Oreochromis niloticus: one gene and its partners. The main gene of each other region encodes a partner of the protein of the gene in region 2 in a complex. Links are inferred from orthologs where the notes say so. Each region holds a gene or a part of one and is shown on either strand. Other genes may lie near its edges. The genes, in order: drc5, ccdc135, fbxl13 and drc3.

The links.
Region 1: ccdc135 (region 2) and drc5 share a complex: the UniProt entries of both Homo sapiens proteins name them as parts of the nexin-dynein regulatory complex. The link is inferred for Oreochromis niloticus from reciprocal best matches to the Homo sapiens genes DRC7 and DRC5.
Region 3: ccdc135 (region 2) and fbxl13 share a complex: the UniProt entries of both Homo sapiens proteins name them as parts of the nexin-dynein regulatory complex. The link is inferred for Oreochromis niloticus from reciprocal best matches to the Homo sapiens genes DRC7 and FBXL13.
Region 4: ccdc135 (region 2) and drc3 share a complex: the UniProt entries of both Homo sapiens proteins name them as parts of the nexin-dynein regulatory complex. The link is inferred for Oreochromis niloticus from reciprocal best matches to the Homo sapiens genes DRC7 and DRC3.

What each region holds. Positions count from the first base shown.
Region 1 is NC_031980.2:14,145,456-14,153,148, forward strand, and holds the start of drc5 (dynein regulatory complex subunit 5), read left to right. Parts: upstream 1-4,681; 5' UTR 4,682-4,763; intron 4,764-6,194; 5' UTR 6,195-6,228; coding exon 6,229-6,325; intron 6,326-6,414; coding exon 6,415-6,983; intron 6,984-7,693. Other genes in the region: E3 ubiquitin-protein ligase rnf8, read left to right, coding at 1-28. UniProt on the Homo sapiens protein: Component of the nexin-dynein regulatory complex (N-DRC) a key regulator of ciliary/flagellar motility which maintains the alignment and integrity of the distal axoneme and regulates microtubule sliding in motile axonemes.
Region 2 is NC_031984.2:2,435,226-2,442,357, forward strand, and holds the start of ccdc135 (dynein regulatory complex subunit 7), read right to left. Parts: upstream 3,015-7,132; 5' UTR 2,917-3,014; intron 1,851-2,916; 5' UTR 1,827-1,850; coding exon 1,789-1,826; intron 1,237-1,788; coding exon 1,098-1,236; intron 983-1,097; coding exon 857-982; intron 169-856; coding exon 1-168. UniProt on the Homo sapiens protein: Component of the nexin-dynein regulatory complex (N-DRC) a key regulator of ciliary/flagellar motility which maintains the alignment and integrity of the distal axoneme and regulates microtubule sliding in motile axonemes.
Region 3 is NC_031972.2:56,431,183-56,438,142, forward strand, and holds the start of fbxl13 (dynein regulatory complex subunit 6), read right to left. Parts: upstream 3,005-6,960; 5' UTR 2,884-3,004; exon of another isoform or gene 2,770-2,883; intron 2,593-2,769; 5' UTR 2,535-2,592; coding exon 2,438-2,534; intron 1,897-2,437; coding exon 1,808-1,896; intron 152-1,807; coding exon 56-151; intron 1-55. Other genes in the region: uncharacterized protein LOC100695371, read left to right, coding at 3,107-3,123, 3,196-3,251, 3,320-5,223. UniProt on the Homo sapiens protein: Substrate-recognition component of the SCF (SKP1-CUL1-F-box protein)-type E3 ubiquitin ligase complex.
Region 4 is NC_031969.2:18,075,994-18,083,794, reverse strand, and holds the start of drc3 (dynein regulatory complex subunit 3), read right to left. Parts: upstream 3,015-7,801; 5' UTR 3,004-3,014; intron 2,995-3,003; exon of another isoform or gene 2,918-2,994; intron 2,730-2,917; 5' UTR 2,685-2,729; coding exon 2,525-2,684; exon of another isoform or gene 2,505-2,524; intron 2,430-2,504; coding exon 2,313-2,429; intron 2,202-2,312; coding exon 2,035-2,201; intron 1,952-2,034; coding exon 1,805-1,951; intron 1,330-1,804; coding exon 1,010-1,329; intron 905-1,009; coding exon 730-904; intron 634-729; coding exon 502-633; intron 336-501; coding exon 265-335; intron 7-264; coding exon 1-6. Other genes in the region: tom1l2a (TOM1-like protein 2), read left to right, coding at 5,100-5,151. UniProt on the Homo sapiens protein: Component of the nexin-dynein regulatory complex (N-DRC) a key regulator of ciliary/flagellar motility which maintains the alignment and integrity of the distal axoneme and regulates microtubule sliding in motile axonemes.

The DNA of each region.
Region 1 (7,693 bases), on a different chromosome or scaffold from region 2:
TGACAGTTCTGATGAAGATGAGGATTAGCCCCTTTTTCTCCTCTGGGCTGTAATATGGAATTAGACTTTTCTGCTGTTGAGTTTCGCCTTTCCGTGGAATGTTCCCGGGACATTTAGGATAGAGGATGCAAAGTTTGGTCCAGGCAGGTTTATGTTTAGTTGTTTTTGGTTTTTTTGTAAAATAATCATTTGTGTTGTCTTTATTTTCAACTAAATGAATAAAGTTTATTCATATGCATTTCAAGTCCAATTTCTGATTCCTTATATTTCAAGCAAACCTGGGAATTCAAACTTTTGTCAGTGCCACAGAAATCCTACTACAGGGTGGGCCATTTATAAATAAATAAATGGCCCACCCTGTAGTGGTGGGCCAAACCAAGCACACCATTGTTTTTCCTGTGACATTACCAATAAGTTTGATGTGTCACATGGCCCTCTTCCTATTGAAAAAACAAAAGTTGTATCCAAGATGGCCGACTTCTAAATGGCCACCAAGGTCACCACCCATCTTGAGGAGTTTGCCCCCTCACATATACTAATGTGCCACAAACAGGACTTTAATATCACCAACCATTCCTATTTTATTACGGTGTATCCATATAAATGGCCCACCCTGTAGAATGTTTTCTGGGATTCAGTACTAGCCATGCTTCATACTTTAACTATAGTGATTTGTCTTTTTATATGGTCCCACCAGCACTAAGGGTAATCCTCTAATTTTTCCTGAAGTATTTTGATTTGTCCATTATTGACCAAACACTTGCATATTTAGAGCTCAACCAACAGCTGCAGGTTTAGTGATAAATGTTTTACCTCTTTAACATTCACTGGCCCAGGTAACTAAAAATTCTGCTGTGTTTTGAAAGTCGACACCTTGGTGTTGAGTTACATTTGCAAACAGGCTCACAGTTCAAACAATGTGTTTAAACTGTGATTAAACAACAAATGTTTAAAGCTGGTACCACAGCAACATCAGTCCCTTAAGACCAAACAGCTATTTTGTTATCATAAGGGGGTAGATACAGGCAGAAAAAGGGGATCTAGTGGCTCTTTTATGCTTTGGAAAAGGGATGTTTAATTAGATTAGAATAGAATAGAATAGAATAGAATAGAAATATCCTTTATTGTCCCTCATTGGGGAAATTCAGGTGGCCCAGCAGCAAAGTGATAGGCAGATGGAGCATTCAGATTAAAAAAAAAACTATTCACAACATAATGACAAAAAAATACTGTGGAGTTATTAAGTTATTAAAAAAAATTCAATTATTAAAAACAGAAAAAGAAAAATCTGCAATTAGGAGGCCAACATCACAGCAAGAAGATCCTGGGTCCAAATCCATCTTGTATGGTCTCCCTGTGCCTGCCTGGCTTCTGCTTCCTCCCCGTCCAAAGAAATGCATGTTATGTTAATTGGCTGACTGTGAATGATTGTCTGTCTCTCTATGTTAGCCTTAGGATTGGCTGACAACCTATCAGGACCCTGCCTTTCAAGTGGGATAGGCTCCAGCCCCCTGTGACCCTGAATTGGATAAGCGGAAGAGAATGGGTATATACAGATGGCTATAAATCTCCTATGATGAAATATTTCTATGCTGATGGGCTGCAGCACAGTTTATAATGTGGTAATGCTGTAGTAGTAGCACTTCCCAGAGCTATTCTCATTTATTATAGACTGCCATGGTTTCTGGCTGTGAGTCAGGGATTAGAAGCCAGGAGAAGATGAACCCCAGTAAACTGAATCTTATATAGAAGTGTTGAGATCAAACATAGATCTCCTTCGTCAGCTTTGTTGGTTCAGTTTGTTTTTCCATTAATAGAAAAAGAGGTAAAAGCACATTAATGCTGGTTAACTAGCATAAATCCATTAAGCCTTTTCTTCTTCAGATGGAAACCATCCTCCTGGATTTAATAAGTTAACAAAACTAACAAGTCTCGGTGTGTTAGAAAAAACAAAGGCAAACATGTTTTTAAAACAACATACTGTCATTTGTTTTCTGTGGCTCCCTGCCTTCAATTCATTCCCTGAGTCACCTGGGAGTCGCCCTGCCTTGCAGACAGGCTGTGGAGCTGAGAGGCTTGCAGAAAACCCTGGCAGCATTCCACAGTTTACCTCAGCTCTCACTGCTTCAGCCTCATATAAACAAACAACTGAATGACTTCAAGTCTTAACATAGTGTGGGAATTTTCAGTAGCTTCGCATGATTCATAGTTGCTGAGATTATGTTTCTTTTTTTAAAATTAGGATGTTTACTTGGGCTGTTGAAGTGCACAGGGCGATATTTAAAGGGCACCACTTCCAAAAAGGCCCTATTGTCATCATGCCCCTTGACTATTAGAGCTGTCATCTGAAAAAGATCATGAGATCATGAGTTACTTCACAATGTTACACTTCTAAATCTACCAGCAGTGGGCGTCAGATTTAAAAATAGATTTCCATCTTGGAAAGAAGCACTTCATTTTGGTAAATCCTTCTATCTTTTAGTAATTAGACACACGCTCTGTTGCCTGGCAACTAATGCAACAGCTCCTTGGGATCTGAAAGAAAATGAAAGAGAGATGGCACCGGCTGCTCCGGTGCTAATGCACACAGTCCTCAGACTGCAGACAGGCAGCTTTGATCCTGTGTTAACTCCATGGCCTGGCTTCGGTTGAGGTCTTAATTGCACTATAATCACTGCATCTATCTAATGCTCCTGAACTAAATCACTTATTATCCCTGAGAAACAGCAATTATTCAGGAAGATGTATAAGCAAATATCCTGCCGCGCTGGACTATTTGTTAGGGGGAATAGGCCGATTCCGATGTAAATATTCACACATTCTTAAATTATTATTATTATATCTTAAAAATACAATACTTGCATTGCCCAATGCTTGGATGGTCAATGCATTACCAGAAAGTAGAACTAAAAGTACCCAGGCATGTTATTCTTTCTTTTCCTTCTTCTGATTCGATACCTCTGGCAAACAGTAGGGTTGAATAGCTGGTGGGTGGGGCTTCTGTGCTCATAGCCAGAACTGTGTCCATAAGATAAACATTAGGGATGCCACTCTTCACTGTCATCACAGAGCTAAGAGTTAAAAATAATAATAAAAAAAACGTACTTACAAAAGCCTAACTTGCTCATACACTCTTTACTGTTAATTTTGTCCTTGTTTATCACGATTTTAATAAATTATTGGAAATGTTTTTTGTTTTTCTCATTTCTCTTGTTTGCTTCATGCCAAAACATCAGAGATGCCACTCTGATCAGTAAACATGTGCACCTCTTATGTGGTGCAGTAACAACCCCTCCCTTCGAACACTGTGATTCACTCCACAGAGAGGACTGGGACAGCAGCCTACAGAGTGAGTTTGCCTTCTGTGCTGTGGATGCCTGATGTCATGCCAGTCCATTAAAGCCAGAGTACAAGGGACGCGTGTGTCTGTCAGACCACGTTACACGAGGACGACAGTGATGGACTGCCTCGGGGCTACAGTTGGAGCCTCTCGTTCCTCCATCCGAGCCGCCATCCGACTACTGGAAGCAACCTCACGATGCCAGTAACAGCTATCTAACTGTTACTCAGTCACGCTCTCTCTGCCCAAGCATATGGGGAGCAGAGTCAGGATTGCAGGATCATGTACCTGCTTTCATCCATGCTTGAATGTTACACAGCTGATGAAAGCTGATGAAGTCCACAACTGATTAATTCAAGGAACAAATTTATCCTGCATCTACTTGGTATTTGATTCGGGCACTTTAAAGCAAAGATTCACACAAATGTATGAAATTAAGTGTTACATCTTTCCAATGCATCAATGCAGCGAGGCTACACACTCTCGTTCCTTCTTTACAATGCTACAATGCTTTTCAGACTATGAAAAAATGCTCTAAGTGTAATTTGCGGGTTATGTGATAACAGTGGTGTCAAGTTCAAACGTCTCATTCTCTCAGTGCAATTAGCTCCTACAGCTGACTCTAAAGTTTCTGACTCCATCTCTATCCATGTAAAATAACTTGGCTTTAAATGATGTTTTGCTTAATAACAACCATGAGTTTCTTAAGGTGGTATTTACAGATTTCTCACCTCCTACACAGTAGCCGAGCACCTGTTTTGTGTTGCTTGTGAGACAGATGGATCCACTCCAGTGTGCTCTTTTCCAAAAGGCCCATGGTCCAGACCCAAGGTCCATCTGGCAGTTTGGTGGCATCTGAATGTGTTTCACAGCATGATCACTGCTTCCTCAGATGCAAACCTAAACACAAAGCACTCGTTTCTCTGTGAAAATAAAGCTGTAGTTGTATAAATACTGGATGTTATTTAAACATGCGATCTGTTCCAGGTAGCTTTGATTCCCAAATTAAGCAACTTATGATTGTATTCTTCTTCTCTTTCTACAGCTCATTGTTATTATTATTAATATTAGTAGTAGTAGTGGTAGTAGTAATACTATAGCTTGTCATTTTCTGTGTTGTGTATTTAAGAAAAACTGTTTCATTCAATGAAGCTCGGAAATTTGTTTTCCCGAACACTGGTGACTCACAAAAATGAAAATGATTTCCATGTGAAATGAAATGTGTACATCCATGTGTCTTACTAAATTTTGTATTTATTTTTTGTCCCCTAAACACAGCAGTAAACAGTATAAACATGTTTATACGTACATCGAGGTATCGGTCAACATTCAGAGTAAAAACTCAAATTTCCCAGAGACGTTAAAGTAAACTCACTGCGTTCCGTTCCCATGGGAACAGATGAACCCTAAACCAGTACTGCAGGTATGTTAGCATGTATACGACAAGGATTAGGCTGTGTATATCTAACTAAATGACATAAAATAAATATTAAATAGCTGAAGAAGTTTTTATTCGATAGCTATAACAATGGTGGGACTACATGCTCTTAAGCTAACTATGTAAGATACCTTATTGGCCAGAAGCTAGCAACTTCTGCCCAACTTCAAAAGCGACTCAATAGCCCAATAGCTGAGCTAGTTAGACTCACCACATAACCACAGTTGAAAATATAATATCTGTCTATGAAGGAAACTTTAAATGTGTGATTTATTTATTGACTTATTCATTTTTATTATTCATTATTTATTTATTTAGTCCACTTCTGGCACTTATTTTGTAAAATTATTGTAATAACTTTATTCGAACATTGTTAGGAAATAAAAACTGCACGTAATCGCAAAATGTAATCAAAGTAAGGTTCTAAAACGCTGTTTTTTAGTTGAATTTAAACTAAGCTGATGCAGTTTATAAATTATTATTTCATTTATTAAGGGGAAAAAGCTATTTGAACCTACCTGCCCTGCCTGCCACCCCGTTTGTTAAATTATTATTTTAACCACATTTTCAGAAAGCTGAGTTCAATTTTCTATCCACACCCAGGACTGATCACTGCAGTGATCAGTGTAGTAGACTAAAAGACCACAAAAAGTAACACACCATGCCATGATTGAAAAAAGCAGTTGAGAAACCAAGTCATTGAGATCTATCAGTCAATGACAAAGCAATTTCTAAGGCTTTGGGACTCCAACAAACCACGGTGAGAGCCATTATCCACAAATAGACAAAACTCGGAATGGCGATGAACCTTCCCAGGAGTTGCCGGCATAGCAAAGTTACTCCAAGAGGACAGTGATGACTCATTCTGGGCAAAATGGCACCCATGGGAGAGTTCCAAGGAGAAAACCCCCGCTAACCAAAAACGACACAAAGGCTCGTCTCACGTTTGCCAAAAAATACCTTGATGATCCCCAAGACTTTTGGGAAAATATTCATCTAAAATTTTGGCCCAGATTTATCCACACTGATGTGAAAGACTCATTGCCAGTCACTGCAAATGCTTTGTTACAGCTCTTGCTTCCAAGGGTTGCATAACCAGGTATTAGATTTAAGGGACAAATACTTTTTCACATCGCCAGGCTATTTGTAAGGTGATGGGCCAGATAGATTTAAATAGCTTTTTCCCATAATAAATGAAATGATCATTTAAAAACTGCATTTTGTATTTACTCGGGCTATCTTTGTCTAATGTTAAACTTAGTTTGACGTTCCGAAATATGTAAATGTGACAAATATGCAAAAAAGTTAGAAATAAGGAAGGGGGCAAATACAGCACTGTACTTTCCCCATACACTTCACTTAAGGATTTTTTAAGTGTCATAACTCTATATTATAATGCCTCTCTTTATCCTCCAGGGCTAATCTTAACCAAAGTGAAGATTGCAGTAAGATGAGGAGGATCATTGCTGAAGATCTAGACTGGTCACTGGCTACAGTGTCTAGTTTGTCAAACCTCTGTCTCCAGTGCATAGTGAACAACTTTGAAGGTGGTTTTTAGTATTGTTATTATCCAAAAGTTTACAATCTCACTTGTAATAAAGCTGGAACTTAATTGCAAAATGTATACCTGTTACAGAAAAGCCAATATATGAAGAGCTTACATCCAGTGAGAAGGACTTCATTCAGAACAGAGTGTCCCTTTCCCTGCCTCTGCATTTTGCAGCCAATGTTTTCCCAGATGGCGTTTATTGGAAGCGACGCTGTGAGCAGAAGTGGAAAGTTTGTGATGTCTCTAATTACGGCGAAAGCTGGAAACGAATGTTTTTTGAAAGGCAGCTGGAGAACATCATTGAACTTTTTGTTCCAGGCATAACAGAGCCAAAGACAGTTCTAGACATGGTCACGCTTTGTAAAGACCACATCAAGAAGCTAAACATCGCTCAGCTTCTGCCACCTGTCAAGGAGCCGCAGACGGAGGATGAGGAGCAAGCAACAGAGCTGACACTTGAAAATGAGGATGATAAATCTGGTATGGACCACTTTGACTTTAGGATCTTGCTTGACAAGCTTACAAACCTGGAAGAGCTGCACTTGGTGTACAAAGTCAAATCATGTGGTATGAACTTTGAATGGAGCATGTTTGAGATGACCAACCGAGACTGTGAGTCCCTCGCCAAGGCACTTAAGTCCTGTAAGACATTAAAGGTAAGTATTGCATTAAATTACATAGTACTCATTCCAGATATCCTATCTGAAAAAATCTCCCGCCCGACTTCGTGCAGAAATATATCCCCATTCTATGTACGTTTTTTCCATTTACACAAGCCCTCAAATAACAGGAGTGGGATTGGGTTGAAATTTGGTACCTTATTTTTTTCCAGCATTTTGATCCTGCTGGATAGCTGCAGGATATTTTTGGAACAAAGAAGCTCAAAAAGCTGCAGCAAAAAAATCGGTTTTAAAACCCAGGTCACTCAGGAGTCAAAATCTACTCATTGCTCAATCCAGTTGTTTTTCTGTGACCAACTTTGAGCATCAAAATTAAAGAATATGTCAAAAGTTCTGCAGAAAAAACTGCAAAAATGTATTTTGTGTAATATTGTAATATTTTAATACTTGCTGCGGTTCTGGCTGCGGGGGGGCAGAAGTCTTAGCAGAGACGCCCGGAGCTCATCTGGGCGGACACCAAGGCATTCTTAAGCAGGCCAAGAGATGTAATCTCCCATGTGAGTAATGGGTCTGCCCTGGCACCTTCTTCTACTAGTGCACACCCAAATCCCTCACCTGCATCCATTAGGTATCCTAATCAGATGACAGAAGCCCCTGACCTGGGAAGAGTAGCAGCTCAACTTAGAGTCCCTCCTGAATGACCAAGCTCTATCTATTTCATATTCCAATACTGATGCTCAAAGTTG
Region 2 (7,132 bases):
CTCCTGCAGGCTCTGATTGAGCAGACACATCTCTTTGACGGCGTAGCCGCTGACGCAGTAGGCGTCGTAGTCTTCGCCGAGCAGCAGGCTGCACAGCAGAGTGGCATACTCAAAACACGTGGCTTTCTGACTCTGCAGCACCGCGTTGGGAGAGGAAAGGACCTTTGGCTGCAACGGGAGAGACGCACACCGCCACAATCAGACACACCGAGAGAAGGTGCACGCATGTGTGTATTTATTGATGTGAATGTGATTATGTGCTGCAGTCTTGTTTCTTTTCTCATCCACCATCTTGAAAAGCTGAAACATGTTCGGGACAATGACTGTATATATATATATCAGCTTCTCAGAAACACATTTTCACATCATCTCTGAGTGTGACATCATCAGTTAAGATAAGATAAGATAAGATAAGATGGCCTTTATTAGTCCCACAGGTGGGAAATTTGTTTTGTTACAGCAAAAGTGCAAAGTTATGTAGCAGAAATTAGAAAACACTGGAATGCAATAAAATACAATAAAATAAAATAAAATAAAATACTATATACAATAGAATAAAATAGAATAGAATAATATATACAGTTGTTGGTCATGTGAGGTTTGAAAATACTGCATACAGACACGACAGGATGACACGCAGTTAATGTGCAGCTAAACACGAGCATTTCTTATATTAGAATTACATTATATGCAATAATTATCTGAATTATGAAAATTATGGTTTCACAAAACAGAAACAGCAGAATAAAAGAAGTTCTCTCTAACATATGCTTTAACTCTCAACCACTGATTACAAAAAATACTTTGTTTGCTCCTAAGACTCAAATAAACATTTGTCTGCTGTTTCCTTTCTGACCAGCTCCACGGGCGGATCCAGAGGGACCAACGACAGGAAGTCGGCCACAAAAGAGGCACAGCCCTGCCACTCGAACAGTTCACAGTGGATGGTCGACGTTGGACGAAGAGACGTCGACACAAACTTCTGAATATGAGAAGAGACAGACGGCGATGCAGAAAGTATTTAGGGTGTTTGCAGATGTGAAGGTCCAATGGGATCTGTTCTTCAGAGAGAAAAAGGTTGAGTGAGATAAACCTACCTTTACTCCACATTCGTTTACAGGACAGAGCAGCAGCGGTTTGCGGTCAGGACACAAGTGCGAGTACTGACGCTGGAAGTTTTCTGCGATGGCTAACAGTCGAATCTCTTCTGGAGAGTTGCTCCTGTAGGACTCGGGGCTGAAGAAGGAGAACAGGTGAAGACGTGAAGATGACCTCAAAGCCACCAGCTTTACCCTACAATGCTTTTTGAGCTTCTACATCATCAGTGGGACTTTTTCCCTCAGAAAAATCTAAATAAATTGTAGAATAGATTTTAAAGCAATTTTTAAAACAAGGACAGATGTAGAAAATAAAATGCAAATGAAAAATCATACATGGAAATTAAAATTTAATTACTTTTTCAAACAAAAATAAAGCCTCCATTTTAAATAAGATTGATTTTTCTGTCAATTATTTCATGTTACAGGTTTTAAAGGGATAATCAAGAGAAACAGAGAAAACCCAACAATCACATGACTCTCTGTGAGCAAATGCTTTGGTGACAGTGGGAAGGAAAAACTCCCTTTTAACAGGAAGAAACCTCCTGCAGAACCTCTGTGACAGTCTTGTCTGTCTTTAATGTCTTTTAAAGGCGTTTTGTAGAGTTGGTAACAACGAACTTTTTTCTTTTCGTGTATTTTCTTCATCCCTGTGTGTATGTAGTTTGTCTATGAGTGTAAAAAAACTTACAGAAGCTTCTCAGAAGCAGAAACGTCCTCCATCTCCATCAGTGCTGTGCTCCTCTGGCGATCCTACTGGATTAAGGTTAATTGTGTTTATGTGCGCCTGAAGTTTACACATAAACACACACACGGAAAAACATCAGAAAAGCACACACATGTAGACAATTTTACTAAATAAAATAATACAATCAAATTAGATCTTGTTGTCAGTATTTTCTTATTGGTTCAAAAAAATGAGGCTGAAAATTCTTCAGTAAAAACATCTGACTATCTGACACTGTCAACAAACTTAAACACAACTTTTAAATCTCAGATTTCTGCTCTAGAAATAAGTAGTGTGTATTGAGCTGGATAACACCTCATCTACCATTCAAAATGTAAGAAAACTTTGAATACAATACTACGGTGGCCCTGAGAGGCCAAACAGACTGCAACTTAAGAAAACACCAGCAATAAGAAAAACGCTGCAAAAGCACACAAAACGAAACACAAAACGAAAACACAACAGAAATAGGAAAAAACTGATTTCCAAAAGCACAAGGGAAGTGTTTCTGGGGAGACAAGAACCCGACGGACCTGTTGGTTCCTGCAACCATCCACTTTGGTGATTGAGGACCTGTGTAGGACCTGAAACGAGGCTGCCAGCTGATTTTAAAATTCCCAATAAATATAATTAAACTTCTTGTGTGCAAATGTTTTACTGTGCAAATCCATGCTTAAAGTGCGATGCTAAATAAAGTGCTTGATAAGGTGCTTTTAATAAAGTGAAAGGTGTGCTCACAATGCTATACAGATAATATAAATAATCATAGTAAGGGAGTCCTCTTCCTCACAAACCGTTATGCATGTATTCCATTTTTTCTCTTTTTAAAATGTCGTTTAGAGTTTAGTTTATATCAGTTTTAGTACTTTCAGTATTTTATGAGTTTACTTTAAGTTTTTTTTATTCATTTCTTTAAATTTCACATCTACTTCTATTTCAGTTCAGTTTTTGTTCCCTGTAGTAACCACGTCTGCTGTCCCACATACAGACCTGTAACTAACCTCGTTTAAAACGTGCTTTTTAACGTGCTATCAAACTAAAGCGAGCGACACTTAAACAAACTCTTTGAAAACTGGTTAAACTTTTACTCACCCGGGCTCCGTTAACTGTTTTTAGCTGCTTCACATTCGTAAGCGTTGTCGTTGCCTCATGTCCATGGTAACAGCAACACGTCACGACGTGAAGGTATGCTGCATTCACTTACCCTCGGAGTTAATAGGATTCATACAGAACACACTTCAGACGCGCTTTGAAACAGGGATGCCAAATTTATTCTGTTTCCTGGCCCAATTTGATCTGAAGTGAGGCAGACCAGTCAAGGTATCGCATGAAAATACCCCTCCAGAATCCTCCCTTTAATTATATAAAAGTACACTATGAAGATGAACATGTGTGCCCATAGATGGTGTACTAGGCCTGGAGAGTGAAGCTATTGCCCTTTGAACCTGCATACTTTTTGAAAGTGTCAACGAGACTGAGATCCCTCGGCTCAGCTCCAACCAGAGGTGAAGGAAAAGGCCTAAAACCCAGCTTTGGTGGGTGTAATGTAGCAGAGAGTGACAGAGTTTAATCTATGTGCTTTGGATGTTAGATGTTCCTGCTGTAATTGAATTTATCATCAAATCTGAAATCTAATCAAAACTTACAAAGTGCCTGTGAGTGAGGAATGTGGAGCAGACAAAAAGACAGAGAAACAGAAAAGTTTTTGATCTTATTGTGCTGAAAAAAACAGAATAAGTCATTTTTGAGTAACTAACTTTTGAACTGTGATCGATAAATACTAAAGTTCACATACTGAGTTAAAAAGAGACACAAGAAAAAGCAAATTCTTAGAGAAAGTAATCAGAAATGAAAAGTATATGGAATGATCAAGGGAAACTGTGCCGTGGGAGTGTCTGATTGGGTGTGAGACCAGTTCCAGTTGCTCGTCCCCTGAGGTGGCGTTTTGTCAGCACATCACCTTCTCCTAATTTCTGGACCATCATCTGGAGGGTTTTTAAACCACCGCTGCCTGCCACTCTCCACCAGTTCGTCCTGCTACCATTGGTGGTAACTCAGACATCCTTGTGTTCGTGATTCATGCTGTTTTTGGATTAATGTGTTTTCCGTCTCCAGTTCTCTACAGATCCATCTTCTGTCGTGCTTATCAGCACCGCTGGTCCCACTTCCACCCAGTTCTCCAGTCTACCTGCAGACAAACGATTTCACACTCACCTGCTCCTCGGCCTGCCCTCCTGCCCGTCATCTCAATTGTGGATATATCTTTCCTCTAGACCCCTTGGAACTTGGATCCATCTCACCTGCATACTCCGCCATCCCCTGGACACTCTCACAGCTACCCCTCCTATGCCAGCCGGCCTGCATCTACAAGTAAGCACATACCCTCCACAAGTACTACTGAGTTCAACCCGCTCACTCGTTTCCCAGTCCAGTGATACTTCTCTCCTCTGTTGCAGAAGTTCCTGCCCATGCTCTCCTTGTGTTATGAGTGCCAGAACCTTTCTCCATCCCCTGGTTTCCCACGACACCTGTTCATAGTTTCTGTTAATATACGTGCTCTTGTTTAAGTTGATTACTCCTGTAAATAAATCTTGTAAATAGTTTGTGCAATTAAGTCTGCCCTTGGGTCCAAACTTCACTCACCTTTCCAGTTTGTGACAAAAACAATGTGTTTCTAATTGAGATGACAAGAAATGTTGAAATTATGCAAACTGAAGTTAATTATGTTGAATAAATGTGACTACTGTGATAAAGTAACTTTGTCTACAGAGATAAGGTGAGGGGCAAGAGAACAACAAGATATGGCTCGCATCAGGTGATTTCACAGCACAATAGGTGATTGGATGTTAAAATTGGGTAATGGCCATGCCATGAAAGAAACTGGAGAAAAGAAGAGGACTATAAAATTCTTTGCAGATAACGATTAATTGTTATTTACTCGAGGCATTGTCAAAGTGAACAGAAGATTAGAAGAGGATGTAGCATACAGGACTAATAATGAACATGGAACATAGGGGGAGCAGCAGTAGAGTCTGTGAGTGTGTGTGTGTGAGCGCACTTATGTATTCATAAGGTTTGTCCGTGTAATTGTCTAATAGTGTGTGTGGTGGAGAGCCATAGCCCTACCCCCCAGGACATGAAGCAGCCATAAAGGAGATCAGGGCCCCAGACATCCAGAGGCCCCCCAGACCATGAGAGGCCAAGGAGGACCACCAGAAAGGCAATCACGCCACCTGCCTGAAAAAAAAGCTGAGGAGAGCCCCGGACCGGAGTCACCCAGCAGCCACAGGGGGCTGCAGCAACAAGACCGCAGGCCCCACCTGCAGCTAGCTAGGCAGAGCTACGCAGACCGAGCCCTGGGCCCAGAGACCTTAGCACCCTCCAAACCCCGGAAAGGGTCTGACAGAGCCAGGGGGCCAGGCCCACCAAACAGTGAGTCAGTACACATCCGAGACACAGTACCGGACACTGAGAACCAAAAATGCACCGTTGGGTGAAGGCACCAGCCACTGGCAGGGAGTGCGGTCCAGGGAGAGAGGCCCCCACACCTGGGTGGGCCTGAGATGTTCTGAGAGAGGTGGAGTCTAAGACCCGACCTGACACAGACACATAGACAAACAGGAGCACACACAAACATGCATTCCCACCCTCATGCACACATTTACAAATACTCACACATTCGCCCAACATGGAGACACACAGAACTGAACGCAGTACACGCACTCACACTCCCCCATACATACTCTGTATCCCCAGGTCCAGGCACCATCACCGCCAGACTGCTAATCGGCCCCAGACCCAGAAGATGGTTCCCTTTACTCTGCGGTGGAGACAAGCAGACTGCCCCTGGTCCTGCAGCAGCAGGGAAGCCCCCCAGCCCAGACCCCAAACAGACGGCCAGCTCCTCCCAGCCCACTGGCCCAGACGACGTACAGCATATGAGAAGACTTCATACCTCACTCTGCCTGCTCATATGTGGTTTTGATGCGTGCTATTCTAAAGTGTAGTTAAAACATGGGAGGGGCTTGGCGCCAACTACCTTCTGCCAGACAACAGCTGGTGTCAGCAAAGCCCCTCCCGAGAACCCTCAATGTCTACATGTATTTAAAATTGAGAGGTGGGGACTGGCACCAGATGTGAGAGTGTATAAACAGACTGTCTTCTGGACAGTGTGCCCACTCCCAAGGTCTTATATGTATGTGTCATGAGAGTGTAAGTAATGTGAGTGTCTAAGTTGTGGAATAAAATTGAGGCACAGGTGGCCAGGAGGGGTCCTGTATGTGTGGTGGTGTGATGAAGCGGGAGGAGTTGGGATGGAGGTGGGGAGGAAAAGATTGGGGGGGGGGGATTAACATACCTGCAGAGCGGAATCCTCAGGAGCAGAGACCGCCTGCAAAGGATGTTAAAAACCTCCTGCCAGCTAAAGAGGCCCCCAGTTTCACCGATGCACCAGAGGCCCCCAGCACCAGGGCGGGGCCCCTGTGTATGCACCCATCCACAACCTCAGCAACACACCAACCAGGACTCAAACCCAGAGGTGGAACACCCCCAGAACCCAAGTCCCCAAGCCCACCCTAGACCAACCCAGGACCAGCATGGCTACTAGGTCGCTAATCTATGTCCACAGGCACAGAGCCCCCCAGCCTTGCCGCTCACAGTCACCAGAGCCCCATCCAGGTCATGACCACAGCCCCTGGGTCGAGCGGACAAGAAACCCAACCCTCAGGGAACCCCCAAACACCCCAAGTGAGTACCCCGTCCGTACTCCATCACCTACAATGATATATAGGTGGGACAAAACCAGGAGCCCCCAGCCCCACTAGTTGATAGAGCCAATCAAAGCAGGCCAGAAAGATTGGTCTAATGTGGTGGCACAGGCTGTACCAACACTAATATGATCTATCAGACTGTCTCTGTATTGGTTAGAATTAGGATTATTTTTATTTTTCCAGTTCTTGTGGACAGTCTTCTTGGCAATGCATAGGGTGGTGAGAGGAATGTGGACTCTTTAGTGACATCATCTAAGTCGCCCAATATGCAAACTGAAGGGGAGGCTGGAATGTTACATTTCTGTCACTTTGGTAAGTCTTCACATATCCACCTCCAAGACCTATGAACTGGTGGACAGAACTAAAGAGCGTTTTTTCAGAAATCTCTCAGTCAGAACATGCTATATCATGTTTAGTTGGAAGCTAGCGAGCTAACTTCCTGCTAACTTCTAACTCCATTAAATTTAATAAATTCTGTTTTCATGGATGCCTGGATGTTAAACTTTATTGTTACACCTGGTAAAGCAGCAACGCTGATC
Region 3 (6,960 bases), on a different chromosome or scaffold from region 2:
AACCATTTTAACAGCATCATAAATTAATCACAAGAAGTAATCTCTAAATGCAGACCTGACTCCACAACACGCCAGACTGGATGATAGATTTCCATGTGCAGCATACTTCAGCACAGTTTAGCAGTTCTTGTAATTCTAAGTACTGAAAGATCTGAGGATTAAAATCACAAATCATCTTTTTTTTTTTATCACATGGAAAAACAGCAGACAAATGACACTTGACTTTTCTCTGAATACTTAAAGGGAGTTACAGTAAAACTCTGGTTTATCATGTTGTTGCCATGAGGTGATGAAATATTACAGTTAGGTTTCTAAACTTTAACCAAACATTGAAGCATATTTAAAATAAAAACAATATTTTTGATAATACACAAATGTGGACATAGGATTTAGACACCATTTTTTGTATAAATACAACTTCCTCGCTTTTTGTTTGATGTTATTGGCCCTCTGACAGGGTCTGCTGGCACCTCTGCCCATATTTGTGGCTGCAGATGTGAACAAGCACCCAAAGCCAAACATAGTCATGCTGAAACACTGTTCATCGACCGAGGACAGAAGCAAATTCCACACAAACAGATGCTTCAACTGGTGAGTGGAGTCAGTGTTGGCGAGTGGCTATATTATATATATATATGCATACATGGACTCACAGGTCAGTTTATTAGGTACACCTTGCTTATACCCCTTTTTGCCTACAAGATATCCTTAATGGTGGAAATGTCTCATTTCGTTACATCCCAAAAGATGCTGCACAGTGGACTCATCTCAAACTGGTTTCATGAACATGATGATGTGAACTTTGTGTGTTGTCCTATTGGAAGCAGCTATCAAAAGATGGGTACACTGTGGTCATACAGGGACAGTGAGCAACAATACCCAGGTAGGCTGTGGCGTTTAAACTGTGCTGATTTAGTACAGAGAGTGTACCAAGCAGCAGCAGCCCGAGCAGTCAGTGTTGCAGAATAAATTGAGACTCAGAGCAGCCAATGGCTGTGCAAATTGTAGCCTCTGATCCCTATTGCCAGCTTACAGATGTGGCACCTGATCATCTGCTGCAAGGATCCATGTGTTGTGCATTCAGAGATGCTTTTCTGCTTAACTTGGTTTTGATGAGTGGTTGTTTGAGATACTCCTGCCTTCCTATCAGCTCAAAACAGTCTGGCCAGTTTCCTCTGACCTCTGGCATGAACAAAACATTTTCTTTTCCCCCACAGAGAACTGCCACACACTGGATATTTTCTCTTCTTTGGACCTTTTGCTGTAAACCTTAGAGATGATTGCGTGGGAAAATTGCAGTGCATGAGCAGTTCATGAAATGCTCAGACTATCCTGTGTGGCACCATAAACATACCAGTCATTTAAATGGCCTTTCTTCCCCAGTCTGATGCTCGGTTTGAATTTTAGCCCTGACCACGTCTACATGTCTAAATGCACTGAGTTGCTGCCATGCGAGATATTTGCATTAACAGATAGTTGAACATGTGTACCTAATGAAGTGGCCTGTAAGTGTATATACACACGCACACTCTGGTATGTATTTAGATTAAAGGAAAATGATCTGCAAGTGACTTTAACCAAATACCCTCAAAGAGAGTGGACTGTATGTTTACAGTGGAGTCTATTTAAAGAGTTATGTAACTGATATCTGAGCTCATCGCTGACTGCTCAGAGAACAAGGGGCTGTTGCAGCCTAAAAAAACCAAAAAACCAAAAACAGACTAGCCATCATCTTTCTGTGTACAAACTCCAGGCTAAATACAAAGAAAACTGAGACAAGAATGCTGCTCGCTGTAAGAGAATCTACCTTCAGTAAGAGGCTGTTTGGGAGCACAGAGAGTGCATCACATCCTTTTTCACTCTGCTGATGCTTGTTGTCCATTTCAGTAAATCCCACTTGTAACATCAGGGGAAAATTCACACACACACACACACACACACACACACACACACACACACACACACACACAAAAGATAAAAAGTGTTAATTCAGTTTTGAAGTAGTCTCCTGTCCCTTTCAAGTCCTATCTTTACACCATGGAGCAGTGATACACTTAAGGCTGAGGCATCTAGCTTTTAAAGGGGCCTCCAGTTTCTCAGTGAGAGCTGGAGTGTTCATTCATTTTAACTTAGGAAAATATACATTTCTGCACAAAAGTATTGACTCCAACCAACCAATCCAATCAATCATAAATCCAAAGATAATTTTGGTTTATGACAACTGAGTTAAGAATATAAGTAAAAAGGTGCACAGGGACAAAATGAGTCATGGCAGTGGGAGGATACAACGTGGGAGCATGACTTTTAGTCTGGCAAATTTCTTAACCTCAGTGAGTGTTTTCTCTGGCTTTGTACAGGAGGGAGCGAGAAAAAAAAACAGCCAACAGACCTCAGTATAAATTCTTCAGGAAAAAAAAACCCTAAAATGTTGACCTACCAGCTTTCATCCTCTTGTGTAATTTGACCCAGCTCAGCAGTTTGGTAAGTGCAACCTGCCAGCATTTCCTCTCAAAATGCTTTTTTGTCAAGTCCATCTGCAGAGTCAACTCCAGGGTATCTCTCTTGCTCTGTGCAATGAACCTCTTCCACTTCCTGTCACCCAACAAGAAACAGCTCATCATTAATTCAGCAAACAGGGAGGCAGGCTGTCAGGAGCCAGGCTTAACTAACAAAGGATGGGAATCAAGTAACAAAAAAATAATAATTTATCTAATTTATAAAACAGTTTATTATGATTATAAAGCTAAAGCTGGACTGACAAAGACTGACCGAGTGAAACAGAACACCCTGATAACATTACTTATTAACAGTAAGAGAAAGTCTTTAGGTTCTCTGAAGCTGAGTTACTGTTTCGCAGTAAAAATACAACCAGATCAAATTCACCGTGCACCACCAGTTTGAGGACCTACAAGAACTAACTCAGCAGCAGCTGCTTTCAATAACTTCGATTGCAATCAGTGGAAGCAGAATGTGAGAAAGTTTTGTGTCCCCTCTGACATCTTTCCTGCCACTGTGGCTTCACTCAGAGCATGAGTGATTATTTTGCTGGTTTGTAGCTTTAATCATTATTCTGCTGCAGGTAGAGTCTGTGGTTGAGCTCAACCTCATGGCTCGTTCATTCAGGTAAATAAAAATGTCATTTTATTCTCAGTTCTTTTATATTTTTAGTATTTTAGTCTCTTTTTTTCTTTTCAGGCTCTCCTGGCTTTGCACTCTGTTGTGGAGCTGCTTGTGCTTTCCTCCTGAAGAAGGTAAGAATTTCAGTACTTTTATTTGCATAACCGACCACAAGTTTAATGTGATGTTTCTTTCCTGATAGGTTACAGTAGTGCACATGGCTACTATCTCTATGAGAGCCCGCAAACCTCTAGCAGATTTCATTCTGGACAGTCTTTGAATACAAACAATGAGAATGTTGGACGGCAAAGCTTTGTTTCCCGTCAGCCAGAAGCATTTACTTATGATAAAGGACAGGATGCTACCGCTGAGATGAAGCAAAGCCAGCCTGATAAGTTTCACGGGGCCTCTTCTGCTCCTCTTATAGAGCAAAATGAGCAGTCTGGTTATCACCATCCCTTTGACCTTTTAGTGAGGGGAAACATGCAGGAGCCTGTGAAGGGTGTCGCTTTCCCCACAATGAGTCATTTAAAGGAGTTTATAGAAAACATGAAGCATTCCTTCTTAGTACCAGGAAGTGACTTGAGTAGACATTTTGAAACTGCACGGGAAAAAATGAAAACTCTCGGAACATCCATGGACTATAGACCAACTCCTGAAAAAGGAGGCACTGCCTCTGGTGACAGCAAGAAAAATAATGATCGGATTGAAGAAGATGCCAACTACCAAACGCCAAATAAACTCCTCTCTTTCCCTGATCCTGTCGACTCCTCTGCAAGTCTCATTTCTTCCAGTGTTTATGACAACCAAAAATTTAGGCCGGGCACCACTTTCTACCCACACGATCATTTAGCAGCCACAGGTCTTGCTTCAAGAAATTTGGCACACGGTTTTCCCTGGGGAAACAATGACTTATCTGTGAGTGTGGATTCAGAACAATACAAACCACCAAAAAAAACACAATTTCCCTCCAGCTCCTTTCACAGGCAGGGTTCTTCCTATAGTAAACATGTGACTGCACCCCCTGTGAACCCTGCAAACAGCCCATCTCAAGATTTCAGCCAGTATTCAAGTGAGACCTCAAATTTAACACCTTATTGGAAGGATATGCTAAATCCAGTACATGTCTCTCAAAGTAGAGATCCTTTAATGAGGTACTGGAGACCACCCAGTGGCTTTGAACTCACTAAAGACTTCCACAGAGCAAGTCAAACTAATGTCCCATCTGCAAAAATCCTACCATCTGTATATTCCTATGGTAAAAAGCATCACCCCTCCATGCAGCATTATTGGCCCAAATACAAGACAAGAATAGGTGCTTCAGTCCAGGCACGTCAACCTACTGAGAGCAAAGAGTTGAGGACTGTAAAATATGCTCCCAACGTCCACTGGCCTCCATCAAGTGGTTCTGTCTCTTTAAGCTTTAATGACCCCTTACCCCAGTGGAGAAGAGGTCACATGGGTTATCAAAGCAGCCCACAATACCCGCAAATTCCTCATTATAAGCAAAAACAGATGGACAGAGCTCACTGGATGTTTACCGCCAAACCCTTGAGTTTTGTTCCCGGATACCACAAAGTCAGTGCTGTTCCCTTCGTCCTAAATGCCCATGCAAAACATGAGAATTCAAACCTCTACAATCAAAAACTCCTATCTACCTTTCAGAAACCGCATTACAATAGATTGAGAAATCCACCCCAGAGTGGGCTCGCATCTTATGGAGTAAGAAACCCACTGGGCTCATTTTCTAAACCACAGAGGCAAACTGTGAGGTCTGAACGTTTACAGCCTTTCATGCAACCAAACAGGCACATGCCTCGAGCCAGTGTGAGTAGACGGCCCAGACACTTGGCCAACTGGCGTTCTGAACAGCAGCCTAAACCTACAGGTTTGATGCCTAAGTGTGTTATTAAGAGGAACACAAAAAGCCTTCCTCCTCAAGAGTCCCGTAATACATCTCCATCATCTCTAAATCCATACGTTAAATCTAAAAACCGCTTCACACGGGCCGTAGCATATCTGTCAAAGGTCTGTTTCACACCCCGTATGGTGCAAGGGAAGAATAATAACAATCAGTGGAGACTGGTAAGAAGATGGCGTGAATGAAAGGACATGACAACTCAGTGTGCAGGACCGGGAAGAATGATGAACATGTTTTTGAAGGTATGAAAACCAAAATGTTGTAGTATTTTTGTCTGTGAACACATCTTCTGTCCTGGAAATCTGTCCTTTAAATAGACAACAGAGCATCGCACTACTGAGTAAATACTAAAACTGAGCACTGAAACTGGACCAACCTTATTCAACTTACTAATGATTTAAAAAAAATTCAATTTAATTTTATTTAGATGGCCACACAACAACATCTGCCTTGAGGTGCTTTACACTGTAACATTAAGACCCTGCAATAATACAGAGAAAACCCCAACAATCAGACGACCACATTTTGAGCGAGCATTTGGAGACAGTGGAAAGGGAAAAACTCCCTTTAAACAGGAAGAAAGCTCCAGCAGAACCGGTCTCAGGGAGGGGTGGCCATCTGCTCCAACTGCGGGTGAGAGAGGGAAGACGGGACAAAAGACACGCTGTGGGAGACAGCCAGAGATAGATAAATAATAATTAAATGCAAAATGGTGTATAAACACAGTGAATGAAGAAGTGCAGCCTAGGCCTGTTGCAGTGCAACTAAGGGAGGATTCAGAGTCACCTGATCAGGCCCTAACTATATGCTTTATCAAAAAAGAAAGTTTTAATCCTAATCTTAACAGTAGTCGGTGTGTCTGTCTCTTGAATATAAACTCAGAGCTGGCTCCACAGATGAGGGAGCTTTTTATTTACCTGAAGGCTTGATTTCATAAGCATATTGACCACTAATACTAAAACTACTGTTGCAGACTTTCTCTTAGATATTGCAAAGTTTCTCCAGGATCACGTGAGCCGGTACAGCTTCAGAATATAAGACATTGGATGTAAAATGCATTAAAGTAGTGCAGGTGACTCTGATCGTGAAATCGAGCTTTTAGGTCCACTGAATCCAATTCGTCCAATGAATGCTTTACTTTTCCAATGTCTGGATTTTATTTGCAGGTAACATTACTGACAAGTGGTCTATGTACATAGAAGTATTCGTAATCTTAATGGCCATTCTCTAAAACCTAAAAACTGAAAAACTTAGATTTAATTTAATAGGATTGGTCTTCAGCAGCAAATCCATTTCCTGTTCTTCTACCTACATCGACTATTTCAGTAAGAACCTGAAAGTGTTACAATTTTGACTTGTCTTGATTGCCACATTTGATGGTAGTCCTCATTTTAAATCATCATTGTAAGGATAAAAACAGTTTGCTGGATATATTAGCAGTCCAGAATAAATTCTACAGTCTATATCCATCTAACTTTGTGGACAGAAAAGCAGCTGTAACTGTCTTATAGGTTGCATTTATTTTACAGTTGGCTTCATGTTGGAGATGATGTAAATACTGGTGTGAAGATCAGTCTGAACTGACTTTATGGTTCTAAAACAGGATTAAATATTTAAAATGAGTTTTTAAATCCAGGCTGTAGATGGTCTGATTATATTCTGTTTGTAATTTATACTGCAATATGTTCACAGTCAGACATCATTTTTAAACGAAAAATTGATTTCTGAAATGTGTAAATTGATATTGTTTTCCAAAAGCAATCAAGGTAATCTGATTTACAGGAGAACTACAGGTTTTTTGTTTTTGGTTTTTTTAATCCAGATTTGTTCATTTGCTTGCATCTGTATTTGGTTCACATCAGGCTGCAAGTAAATAACAAAACTTAAATGTGGTAAGATTCCTGCTTTATGAGTGGATGATG
Region 4 (7,801 bases), on a different chromosome or scaffold from region 2:
GAGAACGTATGGTTTTGTTAAAGAAATCTCTCACACAGGAATACATCTGATTGATTAAAGCCCATCAAATGCTATGACACGCTGGTGAGTTAATCAACCACTTTCTTCTGCTTATCCAATTCAAGGTTGCAGGGTGTGCTGGACAGGTCACCAGTGTGTCGCAGTGCTCATGACTATATAATTATTAGCATACATTAATGAGTGTTTTTAGAATGTTTTTGAAGCAATTCTGTTGCTTTCCTGTAAAAAAAAAAAAAAGGATATATCCCCTGTGCGGTTTCACTGAAGTGTCTAACCATGTCTGAGACGCTGCTGTCAAAAGTTTTGATCTTCTCCTGAAATGACCAAGCAGCATCACTGTGATTAAATGTGAAACACAGACATGGAATCTCATGACATATCAAGTATTTTAACATTATTTATAAAGTAAGAAATTTCATGAGATTTCATTGGGATATTTTACAAATTATACAAGGTGTACAATCTCTAGCATACACTAACCTCCATCTCGCTGACCAGCTGAAACTCCAGTGTCATGAGGTTTTTACAGAGCCGGTTAATTTCATCATTGCAGTGGTCAATCTTCACTTTGCGTACCTCTGGGTCTGATAACTGCTGAAACTCTTCTGTCCTCTTTAAAGGAGAAAACACAAGAGATCATCTCATGCTGAGTCATTGCATTCATGTAAATCACTGTGCACATGGAAAAGGGGATTGCTCCTTGCTTGCCTCTTTGTGTTCATGATTAAACTTTGCTAACATCTGCGATGCCTTCTCCTGGCAGTCTGTCACAGCCTTTTCTTGGCAACTGAAGAAAGACTTCACCTCCGTCTCCCTTCGTTTGTGCTCAGCCAAGCCCATTTCAAATAACTGTGTACACAGCTCCCCCATTTGGTGCTCAAATGTAAGTGCAAGGTCAAGGAACCAAAAGGAATGATTGGTTTGGCCTGTACTATGACAATAATAACAATGCACGCACGGATTAGGAAACCAGGATGATAAAAGATATGTTTGAATCAGAGAATCCACTCCTGGCGCACAGTGCAGTGTTTGTGCTTTTGGATCATCTTTAAACATGTTCTTAAACAGAGAAGAGCCATTAAGGAACTCCACAAAGGCATCCTGCACAAGAAACAACAAAAAAGAAAACATAAGTGTCAGACTGTATGTATACAAATCAACAGATGACTCACAAAAAAAAGATAGTACTCGATGTAATTTTAGCTCAGCTTCGTGTCTTTGTCGAGCCTCATCAGCCTGGTGTAGCTCCAGCTCTTCAAGTCTCATTTTCTCAAGGACATAGTGATATTTGATAGATGCTTCCTTTCTCTGTACATACACAGAAATAAAATGTAGTTACTCTGCATCAACCAGCAATTCATAAATGCACATGAGGATGACTTTCAAACAAGCTTGGGTACAGTCAGCTTTACTGTTACATCTGTCTCCCTCTCATTCACACATATACTCCGTTTTGCTTCTACTGACCTTCCTTCTTCTCTCTAGAGCACACCTCCATTTCTCCAGACTCTCTTTCACCTGTTCCCTACTCTCACTATGGATCACATTTTCATGTGCAAACAGTGTAGTCAACCTGTCCATCACCACTGCAAACAAAAAGGGGCTCAGGTGTAATCCCATCCCCACCTTGAACTCATTTGTCACTCCTTCTACACACCTCACCACTGTCTCACTGTCCTCATACATGTCCTAGGCTTGGGTATACTCATACTCTGTAAATATGTATGTAAATGCTACTTTAAAGGTAAGCGTAGAACAAAACGTAGATTGGGTTTGCACTTACTGTCTTCTGGTCAAGTATTCTGGAGTCTAGGAACATCAACTTTGGAAAGTAGGCAGCGATGAAAAATCTGTAATCACCCTCGTTTAGGAAAGGATTTCCAAACAGGTTGACTGCTGCCAGGTTCTTGAACTTCCTGAGGTAGAGCACCTTTGAAATGCATTAGGTTAATTAAACAGTAACACATGAATGTTTCCTCATACTTTCATTGCAAATGCAGAAAAGTTTCTTACATTATCCAACTGTCCAATTAGGTTGTTTGAAATGAAGAAATGAGTTAGGTTCTCAAGTGTGTCCATATTTTCAATGACAGAGATTTTGTTGTTGGATAGATTCAGCACTTCAAGCTTCTGCACACACTCCAGACCCTCTATTTTCTCAATCTTGTTGAATGACAGATCTGAGGGACACATTCGAAATTACTCTCATCATTACCAGTAGTTTCTGAGCTGATATAAGATGGCAGTGCCTACACATCATTTGGTCAACAAGAACAAACTTTGTATCTTACTAAGCCACGTCAGATTAATCAGATGGTCCAGTCCCTGGATCTTCTCTATAGTGTTGTTATTTAACTCAAGTTTGGACAAAGATGAGAAGTCCCATAAGTGGTCAATCTTCAGGATGTCTGAAAATATATTAAAAAAACATCATCTCACTCAAGCAAAATCAGCATGCTAAACATTGCTACATTCCTCATCACCTTCATGATTTTCCCCTCACTTTTGTACTCCAGACTTAATTTCTGGACTTCATTAAAGTGGATTTGGCTCGCATCTGGAAAACGCAGGACGTGATCTGGATTAAACAGCTCCTGCACAGCATGCTGCAGGATCTCTTTATCCATCGACGTGGGCTCAGAGATAATATATTCCGAGCTCATGCTGCTGTTTAGAGACCGGAGACAGACTTGGCATCACTTTACACTCTGATAAAAAAAAAGAAAAGAAAAATATGTCATTAAAAACAAACAGAACTTAAGAAACCAGGTAGGGGGTAAATGCTTTTCCACATCACTGTATGCATATTTGAGAGTATTGCTTTGAATATACTGCCAAACACCGTCATTGGCTCTCTAAGATATAAATACCTGAATTTAGCCAAAGCCAAACCTACCTACTGCTGTTTTTGTCACCGCAAAATGCTTAAAAATACAGAAAATCAGCTGGTGTTATCGATAAACTCAGTATGCCGCTACTTACCTCTGTTGTTTACGCTCAGTTACATAGCAACAGGTTCATTTTAAGCTGCATTCAAGTACTTGATCCCGTTGAAAAAAGCATCAATCTGAGACAGGACTTTGTAAGAGTTTTGCTTTAACTATAAATCCTGTCTTTTAAGTCTGATGTTATCTTGTGCCCCAGCTTTTTTAAACATGCCATTGTGGAACCAAGGCTCAAAAAACCCAACCTGGACCCAACACTACTTCAAAATTTAAGACCTATCTCCAAACTCCCATTTATGTCAAAACTCCTTGAGAAGGCAGTAGCTGTCCACCTTACGGCATACTTGGAGAAATATAACATCCATGACCGTTGTCAATCTGGGTTCCGTAAATTGCATTCCACTGAGACAGCACTACTGAAAGTTATTAATGATATTATGATGTCAGCAGACTCCGGAGAATACACAGTCCTAGTCTTGTTAGACCTTACCTCAGCCTTTGATACAGTCAACCATACCATCCTGATAAACAGACTGAGAGACCTGGTTGGGATGTCTGGCTCTGTTCTAGACTGGTCTTCATCTTATATATCTGAAAGGAGTTTTAGTGTGTCTGCAAACCAGATCATGTTGGAATCTACAGAGTTGTTGTGTGGAGTTCCTCAGGGCTCTGTGCTGGGACCTATTCTGTTTTTAATATACATTCTTCCTTTAAGTCAGATAATACAGCAGTTTCCTGAAGTATCTTATCATCTTTTTGCTGACGATATTCAGCTATATTATTCTTTTAAGCCTGCTGAAGCTCATAAGCTCTCCAATCTGATTGACTGTTTAACCAACATTAAACAATGGTTGAACAATAATTGCTTACAGTTAAACCCGGCCAAAACAGAAACTGATTATTGCACCAGGCAGTGCAATACCCGATATTAAACGGCGACTGGGTGACCTAGGTTCCTCACAGAAACATAACCTTAGAAACCAGGGTGTTATTTTTGATGAAGCTTTTTCTTTGGAGGGACAGTTAAATCAGATTGTAAGAACCTGCTTTTTTCACTTGAGGAACATTTCTAAACTTAGATCCATCGTGTCAACAAGTGAACTCGAGATGATAATACATGCTTTTATCTCTACAAGACTTGACTACTGTAACAGCCTGTTAACTGGTCTAAACATGAAAGGGCTAGCCCGCCTACAGGTTGTTCAAAACTCTGCAGCGAGGCTACTGACCTGCTCGAACAAGGGTGCTCATATGACCCCTGTTTTAAAGTCGCTGCACTGGCTACCAATCAGATTCAGGTTCCATTTTAAAATTCTAGTTTTAACTTTAAGAGCATTACAGAGAAAGCCCCCCCCACATTGCTGATTTGATTCGTACACATACCTCCACTCGTAACCTGAGGTCATCAAACCAAAACCTTTTAGTGGTCCCCCACACTCGTTTTAAAACCCGAGGGGACCGATCTTTCCAAGCCGTTGCACCCAGACTGTGGAATGCACTTCCCCTATTTCTACGGGGTTTGGACTCAGTGGAGACCTTCAAAAAGCAGCTAAAGGCATTTTTATTTCAAAAAGCTTTTAATTAGACCAGGGTTTTTATGATGTATTTTATGACTGTATTATGTTTTTACCTTGTAAAGCACTTTGTGACATATGTCCGTGAAAGGTGCTATATAAATAAACTTTACTTACTTACTTACTTGTAATGTGCATGTATCTCTTATATTCGTAAAAGCACCACAAGTCGAAATTGTGTTTACTTGGGATCACACATTTTGCGTATTTTTTGGGGGGGTAGGTGGCTTTTTCAAGATATGAGCTATATATAGTCAACAAATATGAACATTCAATTTTTATATTTCAAGGATTTAATCCTTGTCTGCATTGTTTTTTATTAGCTGTTTAGAGTTATTATTCCCCTCTTTAATGAATAAAATACATGCACGTAGAAAAGGTTTGTTGAACATAGCTTCAGTTACTAACTGTGACTGACATCGATTGTAGCCATACGTGTCCAAAGATCTCTGTACGTGTCGAACTTTTTGAACCAATAGAATTCCTTGGTAGGCGGGACTTGATAGTACTGCCTCTGGGCCGAAGCCTGTCATTCCCGGGCGGATCGTTTGTTGTCAAGATGGAGTTCTTACTTGGAAATCCGTACAGTACTCCCGTGGGCCAGTGTATAGGTACGTTAGACCTGAAATTATTTTTTAAAGGCTTGCTGCTTCCTTCACCTCACGTACTTTGAATGTGGGCCATCATATGTTGTTTACTACTGGGCTCAAAGGTGGAAATAGCGAGCTAACGGGTGTCATCGTAGCAAACGTCATCTGCCTGGAATGGGCTCTCAGCTAATGTTAGCCAGCTAACCCATAACTTAGTCCGGTGTAATCACAAGAAATGCATTAAGTTAAATAACCATGCATATGTGTAGGCACTGATTGCAGCTTAAGAAGAACAAATCAGGTTAACTGAAATTGACGCTATTGTATTGACATGACTTAAAGTGTCTTCAAGAGAGACCCAGATAACTTCCATATTTCCTTAGTTTCTGAACAATAGTTGACCAAACTGTGCGGTCAGCCTGGAGGTTTTTCCCCTCCAATCTCGATACTGTGTGGTGCTTTTTCTCCCCAGGGGAGATATATACGTGAGCTGCAGCATCCCTTTGGTGTGGTTGCATCAATATTTGCATTTTCCGATTTGTTTTTCAACACAAGCTGAGATTCATAATAGTTGGTATCAAGGCCTGACCATGTCTTTATAACTGCCAATGAGCCGGCTACTGATAACAGCTGTTTTATGAAGTATAAAGATAAGAATTTATGTTTACTTGAAGAATGTGAAAATAGGAGTGTACTGTAGGTGACGTAGGTACATTGAACTTTACTTTTTTTCGCCGTTTTTGTGAAATAGAGTTAATGCTTTGGCAAACTCCTGCAAAACAGATGTGTGCCAGACTTTTAATTTCTCCCAGTGTTTGTTTGTGCTTGCCTTTGACCAAATGCAACAGTTGCTGTATTTTTGGTTAAGTGTCAGAATTATTCATGTTTTTACTTTCTGCAGAGCCATATAGTGCTTTAATCAAGCTCTCGACTGGGCAGAACCAGATGCATTTTTGTTTTTGCATGCAGCATGTCTTGGACCCCCACCCCCTCTTCCATCACAGAATTGGCCGTGTCTCCTGCCAGATCTCTCCGGTTGAGTTGCTGCATTGTTTGGGGCTTGACACCCAGCTGTCATTTTCAGCGGTAGTGATCTGTACACCTCAGTGGAGGGGCAAAGTATCATCTTACCAGACACAAAGGGAACGTGAGAGTTCAAGCCTGACAGTGGAGATGTGTGGTAAATCTAATTGCTGTAAGAGCCCGATGCATTACCACAATTTGTGTCCATATTTAATAAAGACAACCAACCTTTGGCAGCTGTTACTATGACCGGGGCACGTGTATGAGAGGAAATCAATCAAATAATATCAAGACAAACGCATGGGACAAATAGCAAATATGTGAGAGTGGAGACAACGAAAGGCAGGAATTAAAGAAGAGTCTTAAAAGTTCACATTGTAACCAGAGAAGGACTTTGTGGCTTTGTTGCCAAGTGCATGGCACAGCTTGCCTCTGTTAAAGCCATGTGATCGACTGGCTTCACTTGTGTGGTGTCAGTTCTCAGGGCCGGGGTGGGGGCTTTGACACAACACCGTGAATTAATGCACTTAGCAGGCATTTAACTCCATTAGTAGGCTCATGTTCAGTGTCCTTACAGTGTGTGTCACACGAATAGATCAGAGTTTTAGGGGGGGCATCCCTTCCTTCTATCCTCTGCTGCCCGTGCTTTGCCCTGCCACAACATGACAATCCACTTGAGGAGATTACATGGGTTATCCCAGAGGAAGTAGCTGGTTAAATCTTTCAAACTCATGCTCTGGATGCTGTAGACTCAGAAGGTGGACTCAGAGGTGTTTTAAGTGGTATTCATGTTTGAATTCACTGCATGCCTTTTTATTTTTGTAGAAGGGTTTGTTGAAGCTGCCCAGCCTGTGAAACGTTGATTTGAGAGGGGAGTTAAAGCATGAATAAGTCATGGTTTTGAGGCATGTCCAGTGGTTGCATGGCCCTGTGTTACCCCTGGCTCTGGCATGACATCCTGCTGAGGGCCTCTGAGCTTCCCGCAGAGGAACATCTCCTGTCTACACTCAGGACTCATCTAATGACGATCTATGCAGTCAGAACCTGTATCGTACTTTGCTTCAGTAGAACCTTTTTTCTTTTTTAAAAATTTTGCTCTAAGTCTCTGTGTTTCTATAAAACGGCAGCTTCCACAGACATGATGGATGGATTTGGAAGGCCGCTGAGGAAGAAGGAGATGGAGCGGGGAGCAGTGATGACTGCAGAGCCAGTTCATCTTTGTCAGCTTTCACAGTCTGGCTTCCCTTATTTCCTCCTTGTAGCCAAAATGCTATTAAGTGGAAGGGTGGAGTGTGAAGGCGAGAGCAGGTCATTGGAACTTCTGTTTTTTTGGATGTTGTAATAGTTAAAACTGAGTGCACAGCTGGATCACTCACTGTCAGTCAGTGTGGCTTTCCCTCTGAGATCTCGGCTTTCCACTTCCCAACTGACTTCTTGGCTCTTTTCAGTTAATTTACTAGAGTTGGAGGCTTTGGAGGAGCATGTGTTTGGCAAAATTTTATAGCATGTTTGGGTTTACCGTGACAGCTGGAAACTGCAGCGTTGTGAAAATGAAATAGAATGGTAGTCTCATGATTACGGACCCAAGACTTCATCCAAACCTCTTCTTACAAAGATTACTCTTCCGTTTGGCTATATTTATGGCACT